3 linked regions of the Arabidopsis thaliana genome follow. The protein of the gene in region 2 interacts with the protein of the main gene of each other region in a pairwise test. Each region holds a gene or a part of one and is shown on either strand. Other genes may lie near its edges.

Evidence for each region. The genes of interacting proteins can lie anywhere in the genome.
Region 1: the proteins of DRIP2 (region 2) and AT3G09980 interact in a two-hybrid assay, tested with the Arabidopsis thaliana proteins (one large-scale study listed by BioGRID).
Region 3: the proteins of DRIP2 (region 2) and AT1G80000 interact in a two-hybrid assay, tested with the Arabidopsis thaliana proteins (one large-scale study listed by BioGRID).

Annotation. Positions count from the first base shown.
Region 1 is NC_003074.8:3,067,495-3,072,061, reverse strand, and holds AT3G09980 (ankyrin repeat 30A-like protein (DUF662)), read right to left. Parts: upstream 2,973-4,567; 5' UTR 2,705-2,972; coding exon 2,435-2,704; intron 1,810-2,434; coding exon 1,699-1,809; intron 1,603-1,698; coding exon 1,522-1,602; intron 992-1,521; coding exon 917-991; 3' UTR 531-916; downstream 1-530.
Region 2 is NC_003071.7:13,024,204-13,031,202, reverse strand, and holds DRIP2 (DREB2A-interacting protein 2), read right to left. Parts: upstream 5,293-6,999; 5' UTR 4,760-5,292; coding exon 4,642-4,759; intron 3,223-4,641; coding exon 3,123-3,222; intron 2,699-3,122; coding exon 2,371-2,698; intron 2,226-2,370; coding exon 1,813-2,225; intron 1,708-1,812; coding exon 1,657-1,707; coding exon of another isoform or gene 1,653-1,656; exon of another isoform or gene 1,365-1,652; coding exon 1,292-1,364; intron 1,020-1,291; coding exon 840-1,019; 3' UTR 542-839; downstream 1-541. UniProt on the Arabidopsis thaliana protein: E3 ubiquitin-protein ligase that acts as a negative regulator of the response to water stress. Mediates ubiquitination and subsequent proteasomal degradation of the drought-induced transcriptional activator DREB2A. Functionally redundant with DRIP1.
Region 3 is NC_003070.9:30,090,937-30,097,853, reverse strand, and holds AT1G80000 (CASC3/Barentsz eIF4AIII binding protein), read right to left. Parts: upstream 5,048-6,917; 5' UTR 4,660-5,047; coding exon 4,193-4,659; intron 3,882-4,192; coding exon 3,782-3,881; intron 3,617-3,781; coding exon 3,411-3,616; intron 3,326-3,410; coding exon 2,646-3,325; intron 2,423-2,645; coding exon 2,320-2,422; intron 2,082-2,319; coding exon 1,962-2,081; intron 1,562-1,961; coding exon 1,509-1,561; intron 1,378-1,508; coding exon 1,317-1,377; intron 1,186-1,316; coding exon of another isoform or gene 1,176-1,185; exon of another isoform or gene 1,140-1,175; coding exon 1,112-1,139; 3' UTR 949-1,111; intron 864-948; 3' UTR 531-863; downstream 1-530. Other genes in the region: FRS8 (FAR1-related sequence 8), read right to left, coding at 1-98, 203-289; AT1G79990 (coatomer subunit beta-2), read right to left, coding at 5,905-5,927, 6,206-6,371, 6,505-6,634, 6,875-6,917. UniProt on the Arabidopsis thaliana protein: Core component of the splicing-dependent multiprotein exon junction complex (EJC) deposited at splice junctions on mRNAs.

The sequences.
Region 1 (4,567 bases), on a different chromosome or scaffold from region 2:
AATAATCATTATATCAGGAGATGCTAATCAAATGAAAATAAAGGCTGCACAAAACAATAAAGGAATTTTTTTTGTTTCTTTTACGATGATATCTATGTCTCCCATTGCAATAGCCACATCATCATTGATTATTTGATCATTAATGTCTTATTATTGCACCCTCCATCAAATAATGAACAAAACGTCTGGTTTATAATTATAGTATGGTTTATATAATTTTCTCATTAATCATATGATTTATATTTGATATTAATATCAGATAAATGGTTACATGTCAAAATGTTGAGGACATATTTAATGATAAACAAATAAAGGTTTGCCTTCTGGATATTATTTTTATGAATTTCCTTCCTCATGAAACAATCATTTTTCTCTAACGGTCATTTTGGAATAAAACCAAATTCGGAAAAGGTCGACATATAGATCACATCTGATCTCGTGATGCCATCTTTTTTAACTTAACCTACCGATCGATCGCACAAGTTACACAATGTTCTATTAATCTTTATAGCTTTCCCAGCGCACATGATATAAACAAATTTCCACTTTTCTTAATACCTAACATTTTGTACATTATGCTACAAATGTCAGAACAATAGTTTTAAAGAGAGATAAGTAAAAAATCAATTGAAAGGACAATAAAGAGAGAAAGATAGTTCAGAGAAAAGAAGAAGAAGCGTTTAGTTACAAACCTGTCTTGATGAGTATTTTTTGAAGTTACTTCCTAAAAAAACCACATTACACTTATAAATTCTCCAAGAACCCCTAACAAAGATAATAATTGTAGTAGTAATATAACACACGACGATTATAAAATATAAATTACATTCACCACCACCAAACCTAAACGTAGAGTTAAAACACTCAGAGAATGATCTCTGGCCCAAGAAGTTCTTGTACTGTCTTGGATTCAAAGTCAGTGTATAGAATCTATGTTCTTGCTTAGCTCTTCCAGCTTCTTCATTCTCATCTTTTCGCTTTCTCCCACCAACTGCGAATCATTCGAATCGGAAACCGTTAAGTCAAGAACGCAATTCAAGTTAAGAACACATAACAAAATGAATATATTCGACACAGATCAGAGTGGACTGGTTTGATGAATATGTTCAGTTTACAGACAAATTATGTTAGAAAATGGCAAGAACGATCGATGTAACTCATACAAAAAGAAGACACTTAGATAGAGTTTGAAGGAACTGATTCCGCTAACTATGGAGATGACTCACACATAGCTTTAAGCAAACACACAGACCGGTCCAAGAACTCAACATCAAAATCTACTAAACACTGAATCCGCAAGATCACAAATATGCCTAAAACTATCGGTGTTTGATGCATGTCTCTCAGAACAGAGCTACAAGACAATAATTAGCTTAATGTGTTTATCCACACAAGCAAGGGTAATGTGAAAAAATAAAGGACAACACAACCAAAAATCAGAGAGAAGCAGTACAATAACTAGACCAGTTAACTCAATCATTCAAACTCAACGAAAAGAGACTTGAGCATTTGTTGACTAACCTCCATTAGCCTGGTGATTAGCTGCACCTTCTCCCTGTTCTTTTCGTTGAATGCTTCAAGAGCTTCTTTGTACTCTCGTTCCTGCAAGTTGCGTAAATAAACCAGCTTAGCATCTGAATCCTCAACAAAACATATTTTAAACACAGGTCAATGGATTTGATTATGTTTTAGCCTTACCTTTTTCTGAACTGTATGGCCCAATGGCTTTAATTCTTTGTTGACAGAATCAATCTTCTTCCTAACCATAGCAACTTCTTTCCTCATGGGATCAGCTAATCCTTCAAGTTCCTGAAATGCAGTTTAACCACTGAGCTTCTTAGTCATCAACATAACATCACCCAGGAAAAGCAAATTGTTCTTTTCATAGAAAGGAAAGAGCTTTGATCCACAGAGCTAATCTCTATCAAGTAGTGCTATAAATGTAGAAACTTTCACTGTTCTGCCCATAAATTGAGGGGAAAAAGTACTAAAACCAGAGACTAAGACCAGATTCATAAACTTTAACATCACCCAGAAGAAGCAAATGGTTCTTTTCACAAAAAACTTAATCCAAATAGCTTATTTTTAGCAAATCCAGGTTTACTTGCTATTGATCATTTAAAATCCTAAAACAAACACAAAAGCCCCAAAATTTTCTCCCCAAATGGCATAAACCACACAAAAACCAAAGGAAAATTATAAAAGAATTTGTTCAATGCAATTGTCAGATCTTGAAATTTCCAACAGTTGGGTCCTACAATTTCCCCTTAAACATGAATTAAATCCACATTCTATACAATATAAAAACCCCAAATGTTCAATTTCACATCCCAATCCAAAAAATTTCCATAACAAAAACCAAAATTGAAGCACAATTCTCCAAAAAAAAAACAATCTTTTTTTTATATATGAAATAACCAATATAGATACATACCTCACGGATCAAAGCAAGACGCTTAGTCTCTTCTTCGACACGACCAAGCTGAGCTTGAACCCTTTCCCTAATCTCCATCTTCTTCTTCTCGATCTCTTCTTCTTTCGCTCTAAACGCAGATAACGCAGTTCTAGACATCTCCTCATCTTCCTTCGACATTTGGCTGCTGAAACTCATACTTCCCGACAACTGAGCTCCCAATTGTCGGCTATGCACCGCCGGAGCCACCGTCGTCGGCTGCGACGTCTCTATTGCCTGCATCTCCTTCATCTTCACTGAAATCTCCTCTCTTTGACTCTCTCGTTACTGATCTCTCTCTCTCTCTCTCTCTCTCTCTCTGGGTCTAGATTCTTCTGTGGTAGAGAAAATAGCTAACTGAGCTTTCTTTTTGAAACCCAGAAATAGTGCTCTGATATGAACATTTATATAAAGATAATTACACATTTTCCAGAAACAAAAATATATTAAATGCTATTTTATTCGTATAACGGGAACTTTTTAATAATAATTAAAATATATTGAAACGTATATTAAAAAGAGATAACAGGCAAAAAAAAAAAGGTTATTAGGTGAAATTACCTAACTGCCACCAACAACCGATAAAAAGATACAGTGAGGGTTTTAAAGAAAAAATCAAAAATAAAAAGTAGGAATAAAGGGAAGAGAATCTGATTATTGTAACCGTTGGATCTTTTTATTATCTGATGAAGGAAGCAAAACGGGTGACCCGTAGAATCCGGTGACAGCTCGTTAACAACTCAGCTGTCCCGTCTAAACCGTCAATTCCGAACCAAACTTAACCGGTAATTTAATTCTGGTTTTCCATTGGTCCATTAACATTTACCAATCGTCGTGATTTTTTTTTCTCTCTCTTTAATGACTTGAATTAGGTATTCCATTGCTGAGCATACACACTATTGAGTTATTTTTCATTTATTAGAACCACATTACATAATTGTTGACAAAGAAAGAAACTATGGTCCACGGTTATATAACTTATATTGAAGAAAATTGAGAAAATGAGAATAATAAAATGATCTTCTAATAATAAATATACTATGAGAATATATATCCCAATATTCTTTACTAGTATAAATTTTAAAGTATTATACTAATTGTGATCCAACAGAAAAATAATAATAAGAGAGGTAAATCTTATAGGTTTTTCGACGTGTATCCGATAAAAGTGGTCAAACTTAATTTACTTTGGTAAATTTAGAGGTACTCAAGTAAGCGTTTTGCTAATGAATTTGTTATTCTCTTTCGATAAAAGAAAGTTATCAATAGAAAAAAGAGAGAGGAGAAACGTAAAAACGAAGGTAAAGAGCAGTAGCCCACTCAGCCAACGGCTTCAACTACGGGCCTTCGAAGCAAGAATATTTCTTTTTTTTCTTCACTTTTTTTTTTTCCTTTTCTCTCTTAATGGAATTTACTTTTATTTCAATGTAGTATACTATAAATTATTCCTCTAAGCTAGCCATCATATCAACTCGATGTATAACTAGTCACATTGTTTTAATGGTGGGGTATAAATCTTGTCCTCATTAGCCATTTTGAAATTTTGTTTGTCCCACAAATTAGTATATACAAAACTATACTTACTTAGTAGATCTTTTTTCAATTAATGGATGAGCTTTGGCAAGCTAAGGTTTTGTTGTTTTAATTAGCTAGGGTTAGAAAGATAGATTACCTACTAATCGACATAAAACCAATATATTGTTTTACAAGTCTCTAATGTCTTGTATGTAGTCTAATAATCAAAAACAGATTTCAAGTGTGAGTTAGTATTATACGGTTTGGTTGATTGAGCTCGACCTGAATTTTTTTTATTTGTGATCAAACTGAGCTAAGGTCCGTTAACTTCCTTAAGGAATAAACTTGTTCGAAGCAAAGCCAAATCGTAGAGATTAGAATGTACGGTGGGGATTGAGCCGATCAAAGACATAGAAAGAGGGTGATCCTTCCTTACTCGACGTGTGCTTCTCTGCCACAAAGGACCCACTAAACCGGTGTTTGTGTTATCGCGTGCACCAGATTATCATTTGGAGCCCATACTTTTTCTTTAATTATTCTTTTATGGATCCCAACTTGTCCTTGTTTTCTAAGTAAATTATATTAAAATTATGTAACATT
Region 2 (6,999 bases):
AAGAAAATTGGTGATGAACGAGTTATATGTTATTTTCAAGACAGTAAGAGAAACATTGTTACGTCAAGTAGTCAAGTACGTTTGTTCTAGTATCGTATGTTGTGGGGGAATTAGCCTTGTCGAATCTAATTCACATATTATTTTTGTGGAAATTTGACTAATGGATAGTTTATCCGTCCATAAAACAATGACCCAAAATCCAAATTTGGTTGAAGTAAATCTCTATAAATACCACGTGAATTTAACTATGTTTTGTGTGCAAATTTTTTTATTTCCCAACAGTTTAGAAATATCTAGAAACAAATGCAAAAAGACAACCAAATTTCTTCAAAATTATGTTTTAAAAAAAGAAATAAGAAAATTCATCTTTAATTTTGCATTTTGTATTAAAAATTGTTAGAAAACTTTTTTTTTTGGTGAACAAAATTGTTAGAAAACTTTTATACATCTCTCTTTAATTCTTGTATTAAAGGTACACTTCACAAGTTTTTTTTTGGTTATTTTTCTTTTGACTTCTCAATAATGGCTAAGTCATTCGATTCACAAGGATTCCGTGTACTTCTCCATTTAGTCCAAACAAGGAAACAAATATTTATAGAAATGACAACATTATCCTAATCATACATTCAAATATCCAAAAAGGACACAATCTCCTTTAAAAAGCCATTTTTGAATCTTCTTGGATAAACAAACAAAGTGTCTGTCTCACACCAATGTTTCAAATTTTAAGATTACAATTAAATAAATATAAATTGCTAAGTTTCTTTCTACACAAGACATTCCACTGCTCCTGCACTTTTCTTTCTTCTCGGTCTAGAAAAGATTCAATGAATAGCTCTTTAGTTGTTGCATTCAGGGAGCTTCCGAGAATAAACTAGCACCATTACAAATTCCTTTGCAGATGAACCTATTGACGCAGCGACTCTTTGATGCTTAGAAGTTGTTTCCAACCATAGGTCTACTAAGCTGTGAAGCTGCAACGTTGGGATCACTGGTTCTCCCATACATGTTATCTCTACCTGTTTACAAAAAAAAAACATAGAGTAGTTAAGGTTCAACACCGGTGGGTCGAAAAAGTCCCAGATCATAAGATATCACCCGGTACACAAGTCGGAAATAAAAGGGAGAGTTAACTTTAGTTTAAACATTTATGGGGACCTTACAGTCATATTGATAAGCACAAGACTTGAACCAATGTATAGAACTACGGTCTATGTGATTCCATATTAGACCGAGTGGATACCTCATATAAAACAGAAAAGTAGCCACTGCATAAGATAAGATTGCTTACCTCATCTTCACTCTTGAGATCAAGCTTCCTCATGAGGTACTTTTGGATAAAAGAAACTGGAATATTTCCATCCCTACCATATAATGAGACAGGGGATCAACTCTGGCACAATATAATTCTCCCAAACAAGAAAATAGACACCTCCCAGTCAAGGATTAGGTGTGATGGGCCAAAAAAGAAGAAGGCTTTATCAAGAAACGTATACCACAGAAAACAAACATGACATGGAAACTCGGGTAAAACAACTGCGAAATCGAATTCAAAGCCATCAATGCAATAATAAGTAATATTTGATCACAGACTTCACAGTTGACATATAAAAACTTAGTGACAAGAAACAGAGCAAAGCAAAAAGAACAACTTACCTTATTCTCAAGTAGTTTGCTGGAATCTGAGGCAATGATGCTTCTCCTTCCCTGAAACCAGTAAAGCCGTGTCACTAAGAGATAGAAATGAAAAGACACAGAAAATATTGAATATCAGAAGTACTCAGAGTCTCAGATACAGAACAGGAATCTCACTGATTACTTGACGCTACAAGTGAGAACCAAACATGACCGTTTCTCCTCTCCTGTTTTAGGCTTGCTGCACCTGGTAACAGTGGAATTCTAGAATCACCAAAAGTAGATGACCTTTTGCGACGAGTCCGACGCGTTCGTTTAAGTGTAGCAGTTTCTGATGTTGTAGGATCACCGTTATTGCTGATCTCTTCCTCGAGTTTACACTTTCTTTTATGATCCTTTGTTTTGGTTTTACTCCCCTGAACATCATTGTGGGATGCGTTTCCAAGCTCAGATTTTGGGTCCTTTGTTCCGTTTGCCACATCCACAAGAAAATTTAGAGGTTTCCAAAGATGTAATTTGGAATCCCATGGTTCATCAACATCCTTGTTTCTTCGATTAGAGAGGGACTGGTTAGGATTTGCATATGAAGACTGCAAAAAAAGAATTAATAAATAAATAAATGTATGGGGAACTATATAAAGACCATAATCAGTCATAACGTTGTGTTTGGACTTGGTAAAGAGAAAAAGTAAAACATAAAGGTAAAGAGAGAACTGCAATGATCACCTTCTTTACCTGTCTTTTATTCTGAGTAAACTTTTTAAGTGTTTCAGGCGAGCTTGCGCTCTCTACATGATCATCTCCAAATTCTTCTTCCTTCTTCACTGTTCTCTTAGTGAATGAACCACTACCTCTTACATCTTTTCTCGTAGCAGCTTTTGTTCTTTTTCCTGTTGTACCAGCTTGTGCTGAAACCCTGGGTGTGCTTACCACCAAAGACGAGATAGACCTCTCCTTCCTCTTTGCAGGTAATGAGATGGAGGACACAACTTCAGGCGCTCTCTCCTTTTTACGTTTTAGAGGAAATAATTTGGCTCTCAAGTCTTGCAAAATGTGGTCAGGCCTAAAATAAATACATAAGAGTGGTTCTTTAGAAAATGAATAAGTTCGCCACCAACAAAGCTCTTACTGGTGACCAACTAGTAAGAGAGAGTGTAGTACTAAAGAGATTTGTTTCAGGTTCTAACAAAAAATTGTTGGTGTCAGCGAAAGTATTAAACTAGCCAACATATTCAGGTCATAACTGCTTCTGAATCGAAATGACTTTTCTTGATTAACTTCACACTATGCCACAAAAATTACGGAAGAACCTTCCATATGTGGCACACCTCAGCATAATCATGTACAACTTTTCAGCATTATGTAAGAAAACTTCGTTTCATCAACAGTAAGAGCCAAAAGGCTTCTAACAGTCTATACAAGGAATCACTGCTAAACCAAGACCGAGGAGAAAATTGTGTAAGGAATAAAGAAGAAGAAGAACTTACCTTAGTTTCTCCAGTGGGGTACCCCCGAGGTCAATATCGCATACTGGACAGCTCTCTATCTCATCCTCTGTGATTTTCTCATAAATGCATTTCCTACAAACTGCATAAAAGTGATATAAGAACTTGTTTCATTTCAATAGATAGTAACTATCAAGTAAGAACAAAATCTTTTGTAATAAAGGCGACCAACTTACATAAAAACAAACAATTTCTCAGATCAAAAGTTTAAGTAAAGAATGAATAGCATAATGTTTGAGGTTCAATGCAAGTTGGCTCGCTGCCAAGTTTGAATTTATTAGATGCAAGTTAGATTATCGGACTCCTTCCACCAAATCCATTATAGCAAGGCCGATAATTGGTATGGTCTCTACTGCATCAAGTTATATTAGTTGTCATGGCAGAAGCTTGTAGACAAGTGGTTAATGAGCATCATACTGTTTGGTTTTAAAATCAAGAAAATCCATAGCTACCAACCTAAACAAAAGAGATGGAATCACAAATTTGATGGGGATACTGCATTCATCCCCAGAAACAAAACCGTGAAGCATTTAACACCTAATTTTGGCACTGCAGTAACTCAAAAAGAGATTCTGCAGGGCGTTCTGAAAATTTTATTAAATTGAGATAAGCAGTTGGTCAGTTGTACAACGGAACCGAACTGTTAACATTTACCTTTTTAAAATCAGATGGAATGAGTAAAATAATTACAGAGTAACAAGGTATATTTCTCCGTAAACGGTAACAAAGAATTGGTTGTGTAAAGCTTGGAATGGTAGATTGATTTAGACTCCAAAAGGAATATAAACTAAATTTGAATAAATTACAGAGATCAGCAAATACTTCAACATGCAGAAAACTCACTACTAATCTGGATTGTATGTTAAAAGAAATAAATTAAGCCATTCCAAACAGAAAATGATCTAAACTGTCTTAATTGTATAATATCATGTAGAAGAAAGAGGCTGATAAATGCTACTTAATCCAAATATTAACTTACATTAAACCGATGAGAGTAGATTAAAGCACTTGTTACTCGAACTTCCTAACACAAAACTTACAAGTTGGATATAACAAAGCAACTGAATCTAACTAACAACATGATTAGCCAAAACCAAATTTGGACGTCATGAGTTTGACCAAACCATCTTTGACGAAGAAGAAGACACTCACAAATTTTACCTAAAGAGACGAATAAAGGAGGATTCTTGCAGTCTAAATGTAAACAAAGATTACAAATTCTGCTCAACAACAACTATTACTTTAGTTGAGAAAACCAAACAAAACTATTCATTGACTCGAGTTTCATCAAATCGACTGAGACATAGAGGAGATCATAAGTGGCATACGAGACTAACAACAAGAATCATGCAGATATTCAATCCAAATCAGCAAGAGGAAGAAAAAAAAAACACAACAGAGAACCAATCAAAGAAGACGATAAAGACGAGAAATTGCGAAAATTAGAAACCGGGTAAAATCGAATCGAAACGTAAATCGAGAAGGGGAAAGAGGAACTAACACGTGTGAAGACACTCTGAAATGGTAGTGGCGTCACGGAGGAGTTTGTCACAGAGAGGACAAGTCATGCATGCCACCACCGTTTCTCTCTTCACTTTAGCCACCATGTCTCCTTCCATTGCTCTCTTAACGACTCCTTTAAATCCTTGATGTCTATCTAAACGAGGATTGATCGATGAATCGCACGTACTATCCCCAAAACTGCATGTAGAAGAAAAACAACGACCCACCAAAAAAAAGAACCCAGATTTACGTTAAACAACAACTCTCGTGCGAGATACCTACATTCAAATCCAAATCCGATGGAGACTCAAGACCGAATATATCCGTAAAGGGTCGAAGAAAATCAGAGTGAAAGAAGTCTCAATCGGAAGAAATAGAGTGATGAAGAAGAGTCGACGAGGTTGAAGAAGGGAGAATCTGGGGATAAAAATGGAGAGAGATTCGAAGGAATAGGGTGAGTATAAAACAGAGGAGGAGACGATCTGAATCGAGGAAGAAGGTGAAGGTGAAGAAGAAGAAGGAAGGGGTCTCTCTAATAAAGAGGCAAGAGGGGTCTTCGTGTTGAGGAGAAAGAAGAGAAGCGAGCGATACCGTAAAGAGTAAAAGACGTTCCTTTCTTTACTCTGTTTTTATTTATTTCCCAATTGTGTAAATGGGCTTTTCCGAGGCGAAACAATGGTTTAGGGCTGCAAAGTCCACCACCGATTTAACCCTCTCTCCTTTTTTACTGATATTGCGTGATTTTAATCTTTTTATTTTTGTTTATTGACATCATTAGGAAAATTACTTGGAAATAAACAAGATGAAGAGGTGAGTCAATTAATTAATAAAACTTAAGAAATGAAGAATTAAAAAATGAAGAGGAGGAATCAATTACACTTGACAGAGAGTATGCTTCTCAATGATTGAATTTTTGGTTCTAAATATATATGTACAAAAGGGAATTACGAGAAAATAGCATCAAAGTAACCGGAAACAATCATAAATATTATAACTGTTAATAAAAATTAAAACCCTTTAAATAAATAAAATTTGAAAATAAAATATTTATATATATATATATATTGTTTATTATTTCTTTTTAAAATTAACGAGTTTAAAGATGTCTATATTTAACTCAATAATTTTTCGTTAATGAACTCTAATAAATAAGTAAAATCTATATGTCCATATGTTATCTCAAGTAAATTTTATCTAATTTATAACTTGGATGTCAAATTCATAATGGATATTTTGAAACATTTTTCCGAAAAGTTGTAAAAATGGCATAAGCTGAAAAAATCGAATACATCTTATCACTTCGCGATCAATTGGAAGGTCACATATCTCTCGCAAGAGCCAACAGTTTTTATGAAAGATCGACAAGTAGATAATTTAATAGTCCATAAAACTTCTAAAATTCAAAGCTAGCTGAAGTAAAAGTGTAAAACCTTATTAATACCTCAATATTGCTTCCTTTTGCAATTATAATTTAACTGTTTCTAAATGTAGAAAAGCATGTACTAACAAACACTACACTGATTCCAATACTAAATATTGGTAAATTGTTAAATCTTTTTGAGTATATACTTTTCTTATATATCAATCTAACATTTTAGTATCCAAAATTAGTATGAAATTTTAATGGTTCTTGCTAATAAATTTTATTTGTTAGGCAAAAATGAATCACAACATAATACATGTTTAGTTAATAGGTATGTATCGAGTTTCTACTTTATGAATCAAAATAATTCACATCATCACTAAGCGACAAAAGAATTTACATATTTCGTCACAGTATGCAAGACGAATCGTACGTTACTTTTAAAACAGTAGAAATACATTTTTATGCCAACTCGTCAAGTACGTTTGTTATAGTAACGTATGTTAGAAGAACTAACCGTTTTTATTTTATTTTAGGAATTATCCGTATTGAATCTAATTTATGCGTTATTCGGTAAAAAAACGACAAGTAGATAATTTATTCGTCCATAAAACAATGACTATTTTTTTTTTGTAAATAACATTCAACACCCCATAATAGAGAGATCAATCAAATATAAACTCATCCAGGGGTTAAAAATTTCAATTCCCAAATTCGACCTCAAACATTCCAGTTGTTCCTCCAAACTCCAAAGTACAAAGCTGTGAATTTCCCACTCTTGAAAATCATTGACAGTACATTCTATCAACGTGTCAAAACATCTATGGTGGCTTGGGAGAATTTCCACTAAGCCAATCAAAAGAAGTCAAATCTTAGTAAACTAGTAATTTTGCTAGCACATGTACACCGCGCCGCACTATATCTGTATCTCAACATTAATCCTCTCCGTATAAAAATCAAATAAATACATTGATTTATAAATATTAAAAAATC
Region 3 (6,917 bases), on a different chromosome or scaffold from region 2:
CAGGCGTCATCATCATCTTCAAGGTCAATATCGAGATCAGGGATTGGAGGAGGAGCAAGGTCATCATCATCATCATCAACAACCAGCTGCTCTTCCATCTGAAGACCATCAAATTCAAAATTGAAATCGAAATCGGAAACCCAAATTGAAATCAAAATTTGTAGTAAATAGAGAGAGAGAAAGGAAGACAGTAGAAACCAACCGCCGAGATGCAGAGATTAGGGTTGGGCGAGAGAGAGTGGTCGGACGGTGACGGTGACGGTGAGATGTAGACGCTATTACCGATCATCTTCCACTAAACTAAAAACTAAAATCAACAAACAAACAACAACAATCGTTTCATCTCAGAGGACGCTGAGCTACCTGAATCAACGGAGACTCTATCCCTTTTTTTTTTTTTGCTGCGCCAAGGAATAAAGTTTCTATACACTTGGTTTGTTGCATCTATTCTATGCGGTCTGTTTTGTTTTTGTCGCATAACTAAATAACCAGAGCGGAGGCATGTCTTTATATATATGGTAACAATTCCTCAATGACTCATTTCTCACGAATCGGGTAAATTTGACTGAGCACCACCACTATCCCCTTGCGTAAAATATAAAACATAGACAACTAACTACCATCAAAACTCAACATGGGCAATTCTTGGGGGGACTTCGCAGGCGTACGAATAGGGCACACAACTTTTGATAAAGAAGTTGACAAACGAAAACAGAATAACACATATCAACATTACAAAATATCAATTTGAACCCAAACGGACAAAAGAATAAATTACAGATGAAGGACGCCCACGGCTCAAGCTCAAGCTCTCATAACAACGAAAACAAAACAAAAATTCTTTTCAATTGCACAACAACCTCCTGAAAACAAAACAGCAAACACAAGTTCAAATTATAATGTGGTTAAAACCTCTCTTCAATTGGTATCTTGAGAGAAATTGCGTACCTAATAAAAATAGGTAACAATAATAGCAGCCCAAACGGCTTCATAAAGCAGTTGGAGAAGCACCAAGGGCCTGCTGCTCCTAAGGAGCTCTTCTCTCTCACCCTCCTCCTTTCACTCCACTTAGTCAAATTAGATGACCTTCTTCCTTTCCACTCTTCTTTACTCACTTGCTAAAGCTCATCTCCGAGTATCTGCACATCCCTCGTCAACATGTGCTCGTTAGTGTTTCATTTCATCCTGGACCAATATTAACATTTCATTTCCACAAATATCTGTATCCAACTACTCCTGTGGTACTTTGATTTCAAGGTGGTTTCACGTCACACTAACACTGACCGATAAATAAACTAGATTGCTTCAAAACTCACCTACGAGGCTGCTTGTTTGGGTTGCTATTTGACCGTTGAGAATTCCCATTGTTCGTAACCTCTACATCAATAAACCCCCATACGAATCAGTCTCTCCATGTAATCATTCAAATTTCTTATTCGCCAAAACACAACAAAATCTTCTGAATCCATTATAACAACCCCATTTAATTGGCAAGAGTTATTACTTACCAGGTCTCTCCATGGGCTCTTCATCATTAGGATTATTGGAACTGTTCTCTTGGCTGCAACAAAAAATCAAAAATATAAGGTAATTGGGTACTTGAGCTCAAATTATATGCTTTACTAGACGCTCATAATCAGAGATGATTGACATGGTTACATGAGTGCCCAACCAAGAAAGTGAGTCTGTTTAATGAAAACTACATGTTTCTGGGTGTACATAGTCGAGAAACTACTAATCTAAGCACTTAAGAAATGTAAATCTAACAGGTAACAAGCATTTTGCAGTGGGTCTAGAATAAGAGGAACCACAAATCTAAAATCTCACATACGTTACTTAGTTAAGGGCTTAAAGCTGCATTCCCATACTACTCTTCCTCTAAGGTAAAAAGCAAAGAGTCTACACATATGCATATGGAAATGACATGTTGATTAACAATACTGAGAAAATTATTTCTAAACCTGGACGATCCGGCAGAGGAAGGTAACCCTGGTTTGTCTGCTTGGTAAGAACCATCAAGGACAGTATAAGGTGGACAATATGAACCCCCTAATGCTCCAGGGCCAGCCAAAATTGGCAGCCTGTCAATAATTTAAGAAAATAATAGCAGTAATAAGGACCTACTATAGATAGAGAAATAGGGAAATCAAACAAAAAACAAACAGCAGACGAGTGAAAGCAATAATTCAGGTTCTGTTTGGGCTAGTAAAAGACTAGTTACAAGATTAAACATCCTCTCAAATTACAAAAGCATGCAGCAAGTCAACTAAGAATGCACCAAATATATAACTTTTAAAACATAGCTGTGGAACTGCATACCATGTCATCTCAGGATTTCCGGTACCATGTTCTGGTTGGAAATAACCTGGAAGAGCCATTCCAAAAGTTGGAACCCCACCATGCTGACCACCGAATTGCATAACTGAACATGAAAATGAAAACAAACAAGTTTAAACTAGTCAGGCGTGCATATTAGCACCTGTACAAAAAGGTGCCGTTCTCAAGCGGCCCTAGACATGGGCAACCAGGCCAAGCGGCTCAGCATCAATAGCTCTCAATTTCACTAGCATGCATAGATTGATTCTGAAAGATGTCTTTCAACCATTACAATGTAGGATGAACAATGACATTCAAGAACAACTTACCAGGTAGAAAAGCAGGGAAATTTGGATTGCCGTGACCAGCTGCCATCCCGGCAGGGCCCATAAACTGTGTCCCTCCATACATAAAAGATCCCCTTCCACTAGGTTGGAGAGACCCTTTTCCCTTGGCAACCAAAGCACCTGTTTCTACGGCTGACTCTATTTCACCAGAAAGATACGGATTTTCTGATGATCCGGTTTTTGGAGGAGAAGAAGGCAGCAAACTGATAACAGCCGAATGTTGATTAAAAACCTGACCAGGAAGTTGAGTACAGCTCTGGTCAGTGCCTTTAGGCATTCCACGGATTTGCATCGGCGAAGAAACTTTGTCACCTTGATTAGGAGATTGCTGGTAAAGCACTTGCCCATGAGGAGGTACACCTCTACCATGACTTGTAGTCTGAGCAGTGCGTCCCCACAAGGAGCTGGATTTTGTATTCCCAAACTTCTTTCCAGTCGGATTAGGGTTTTCATTAATGTGCAGCCTACCCATGCCAGCTTGTACATCCTTTTGTGCCAAGTTATTGTTGGATCTTGAAGGATAAAATGGAGGAGAAGCTGAATTTAAACTTGAAGCAAATACATTCTTTTTGGCTTGGATGGCTTCAGTCTCTAAGGTAGCTGTTTCTGTTGGTGGACGCCCTAAATCAACGTGTGACACTTCCACAGACGAATTTTGGGACCTAAAGATTCCGTAAAAAGACACAACAATTAGAGACCTAGAGCCTTCATGTGTTGACTAGAGAGGAAACAAAATTAAGGACTCACTGTTTGGTTTGCACAGAAGGTGCTTGATTCCCATTTCTCAATGCAACCTCATATCTTCTGGCCCCCCTCCCTCTCGTGACAGCCTTCGGAAACTGATTTTGGTGTCCATTGCCAGTAAATTCTTTAGAATTGTTCCCCCGAGACTGTCCACGGTCCTGACCCCTACCCTGACCACGACCTCTGCCTCGGCCTCTCGAAGTCCTCCTCTATGTTCACAAGTTTAATTAATCAGCTTTCAAAAGGAAAAAAAAAAGGAAAAAGAAAAAAGAGGTGGCAAATGTATAAACACAGCAAGAGGAAACAAGTCGATGAATACAAATATATTTATGAAAAGGAGAGAAAGAGAAAGAGAGATGATCAGAGAAAAGTACATCATATTGCTGTTTCTGTGTATTCATTTCCTCGAATTTGTCATGTCCCCACTTTCTTTCATCTCTGGATTGCCAGAGCCTCCTACCACCACGCATTCGCCTACAGAAATAAAAAACGAAAACCTATATCGGTTGGCATTACCATGTAACTAAACAGAATGTTAAATGGAAAAATAGCAGTGTGATGGCATCTCGGGTAGATTCATACATAAAGATTCACAATCAAAGTTAAAACATAAAACCAAAGCAGTTGTTCCAATCTATCTGAACTCTGAAGTACATCATGAGATTGAATGACGGAAAGTCGTTTGCTAATTTCACCTATCAATGTACTCTACCTCAATAGTAGATAGATACATTTGCATAGTTTGGACAAAACACTACCTCCTCATAGAATCAAAAAGAGTTTACCTATTAGAGGCGGCATCCAATTCCTGAAATCTGTCATCATGCATATAGAAAGCTCCAGCAGTAGGCACTGCAAAAGGTTCCTTCTTCTTTTGTTCCTCTCCATCCACAAGATCAGTGGCGGCAGAGTCATCGGTCCCATTGCCGGCGACAATTGTCTTGTCATTATTATCCGCAATGTATTCGACATGGTCATCAACTTGTCCATAATCACCATCTTCCTCTTCGTCGTCATCATCACCATAACTATCTTCTATGTGCAATCCTTCATTATCATCAGAGTCGACAACAACAACACCACTGTGTTCATCGGAATGAATCTGGATTGCTGCTCGCAGCTTATCATGGTCGTCCGCTTCTTCATCATCCTCATCATCATCGCTGGCTTCTCTCCTCCGTGTAGCCAAGGAGCGGTTCAACTCGTCGGGATCACTCTCATAGTCGGAGTCTTCAACGCCATCAGGGGCCATCAATCCCTCTAAATCGGAGGGCCAAACCGAAAACCTAGAAGAGGAATAAATTGAATAGAGCAATCAATCGGATATGGGACAAACTAGTATATCTCTACGGAGAGAGACGACGATACCAGGAGATCAGAGCGAGAGAATCTCCTCAGTGTTTCTTCATGAGAGATCCGCAGATAGATAGATAGAGAGATAGATAATTATAATAAGAAAAAACCTCTTAAAGATTATTAAGATTGATTGGGTTTACTTTGTAGACGGGAAGACTCTTTCCGTTGGGTCTTCTTATCAAATCGAATGGGTTTTTTACTACTTGTAGACTGATGATGATGCACCTACAACATTTGACGCTTGAGTTCTTTTTTCCCAGTTTTTGGGAATTATCCAACTTGACTACTTTATTAACTTTTTTTTAACCAACAATACTAATTGATAAGTTTAATACAAATTAGCTCTACCTTATCACTTTTTCTCTCAACTATTGTTGTCTATTAATCCTGACAAAAGTGACCATGTTAATATAAATAAAACATGTGGTTTCTATATAAATCAAGGGTATATAACTCCATTGGTCAACAACTTGAATATCAATCAAAACCGGAAAATTAACTTCCATAGGTGCATGCAAGTGTGTAACTCAATGGAGTAGTTGAACCTATACACAGTTTGCAGTAAGAAGCAACAAGAAAATTTAAAATCATTTCCAAGACAAAATGGGTAGAAGAATAATGATATGGTGATGGTGATTACGGACAGTGGAAGAATGCAAGGAACTTTGTTTTGGGTCCTTGTTTGCTTTGAGAGATGTTTCGAGATGCGTCTCCTCCACAATACTAATAATAATGCACCATGCGTTATCCTCTGGCTCTTTCCCAACTTATCCCTTCACTTTGATTATTTCCAATTAAGTTTTTTGCTACTGCTATTGAGTTTTGCAAAAAAAAAAAAGATATCAACTACATAACCTATTGAATCGAAAGTCAAAACATATTATATGGGTGAAATCTCAGTTCAAAACAGATATTCTACAGGTGAAATCTCTCATAAGTTAAAGCTACATAAGAGTCCCAAAACCCCCTTTTTTTTTAATATGTATCTGTATTAAAAGCACAAAGCGGAAGCTATCAATAGATCAGTTTTTTAACAATGGAAACTAATCTCTCTCTGTGCTGCCTCATTTCTCTGCTGAATGTATCAAGTTTCAAAGCCAAGAAAATATCTATCTGTGTATGTCTTCACTCTTCACCAACCCTACTCTTGTGGCGGTGTTAGAACTGTACAACAAACAAATATTTAATCAGTCCACGGATTGATAAAAAAGTTAATGGCATAGAGAAGCACTATTTAAAAGACAGTCAACATCAAAAGTAAGATGATCAGTAAGACGAAGATGGGAGGCAGACAGATGAGGAAACATTGATGGACAGATGCAAACGCAAATCCTATGATATATGTGCAGATGGCAAAAGGATATTTTGGTGCAGCGACATCTTATAATCAATTGATAACCACAAATGCTATAAGGCTGATGCGGTTCCTTCACTAATCTTACCCCACTGTTCTTCAGACTCGTTACCATTAACTAGCACAGCACCATCCGTAGAGTCAGCGTCCACCACAACAGCCTCTTCTTCCACATTCTGCTGTCTCCCATCACTACTCTCTTCCTGACGATCCTCCTCCTCCTCTTCCTCTCCATCTTCCCCCTCTTCCCCAACCTGTTCACAACAAATGAAGCAGCGACAGTAGAATTAATGATCCTACCATTGTCCACCATGGCCAAGACCATTGGATTGGATATCATGGGTAAAAGACAATCCTCTTCAATGCATGTAATGTAAACATGCATACCTCGTCGAGAACATCCCCTTGCTCAAGTCGACCCTCTTCCTCTATTTGCATAATTCTAAAAGCATCCACTAAAGTTGTATGATCTCTGTCTGCATGACTACAATAATCCCCAGCAGGAGGATGGACGCCCCTGCAAGATAAGTCAACAAAAATACTTTGTTTATGAGGATCCTGAAAAAATGAAATCGACATTCGGCTTATGTTTATACGGGTATAAATTCAAATTATAAGCAAATACATGACGGCTACCTTGCTATGTAATACAGACACATGACTCTAAATGGCTTAAGTCCCACAATTCAATTAAAAAGGTTTCCTCATAAGCACTGTTTTTAAGAATAAGCTAATGACGGCAACGACGAAAAGATACCTCGTCTCTGCAGCTCTATTTTCAAGGGACAGGGCGACTTGCC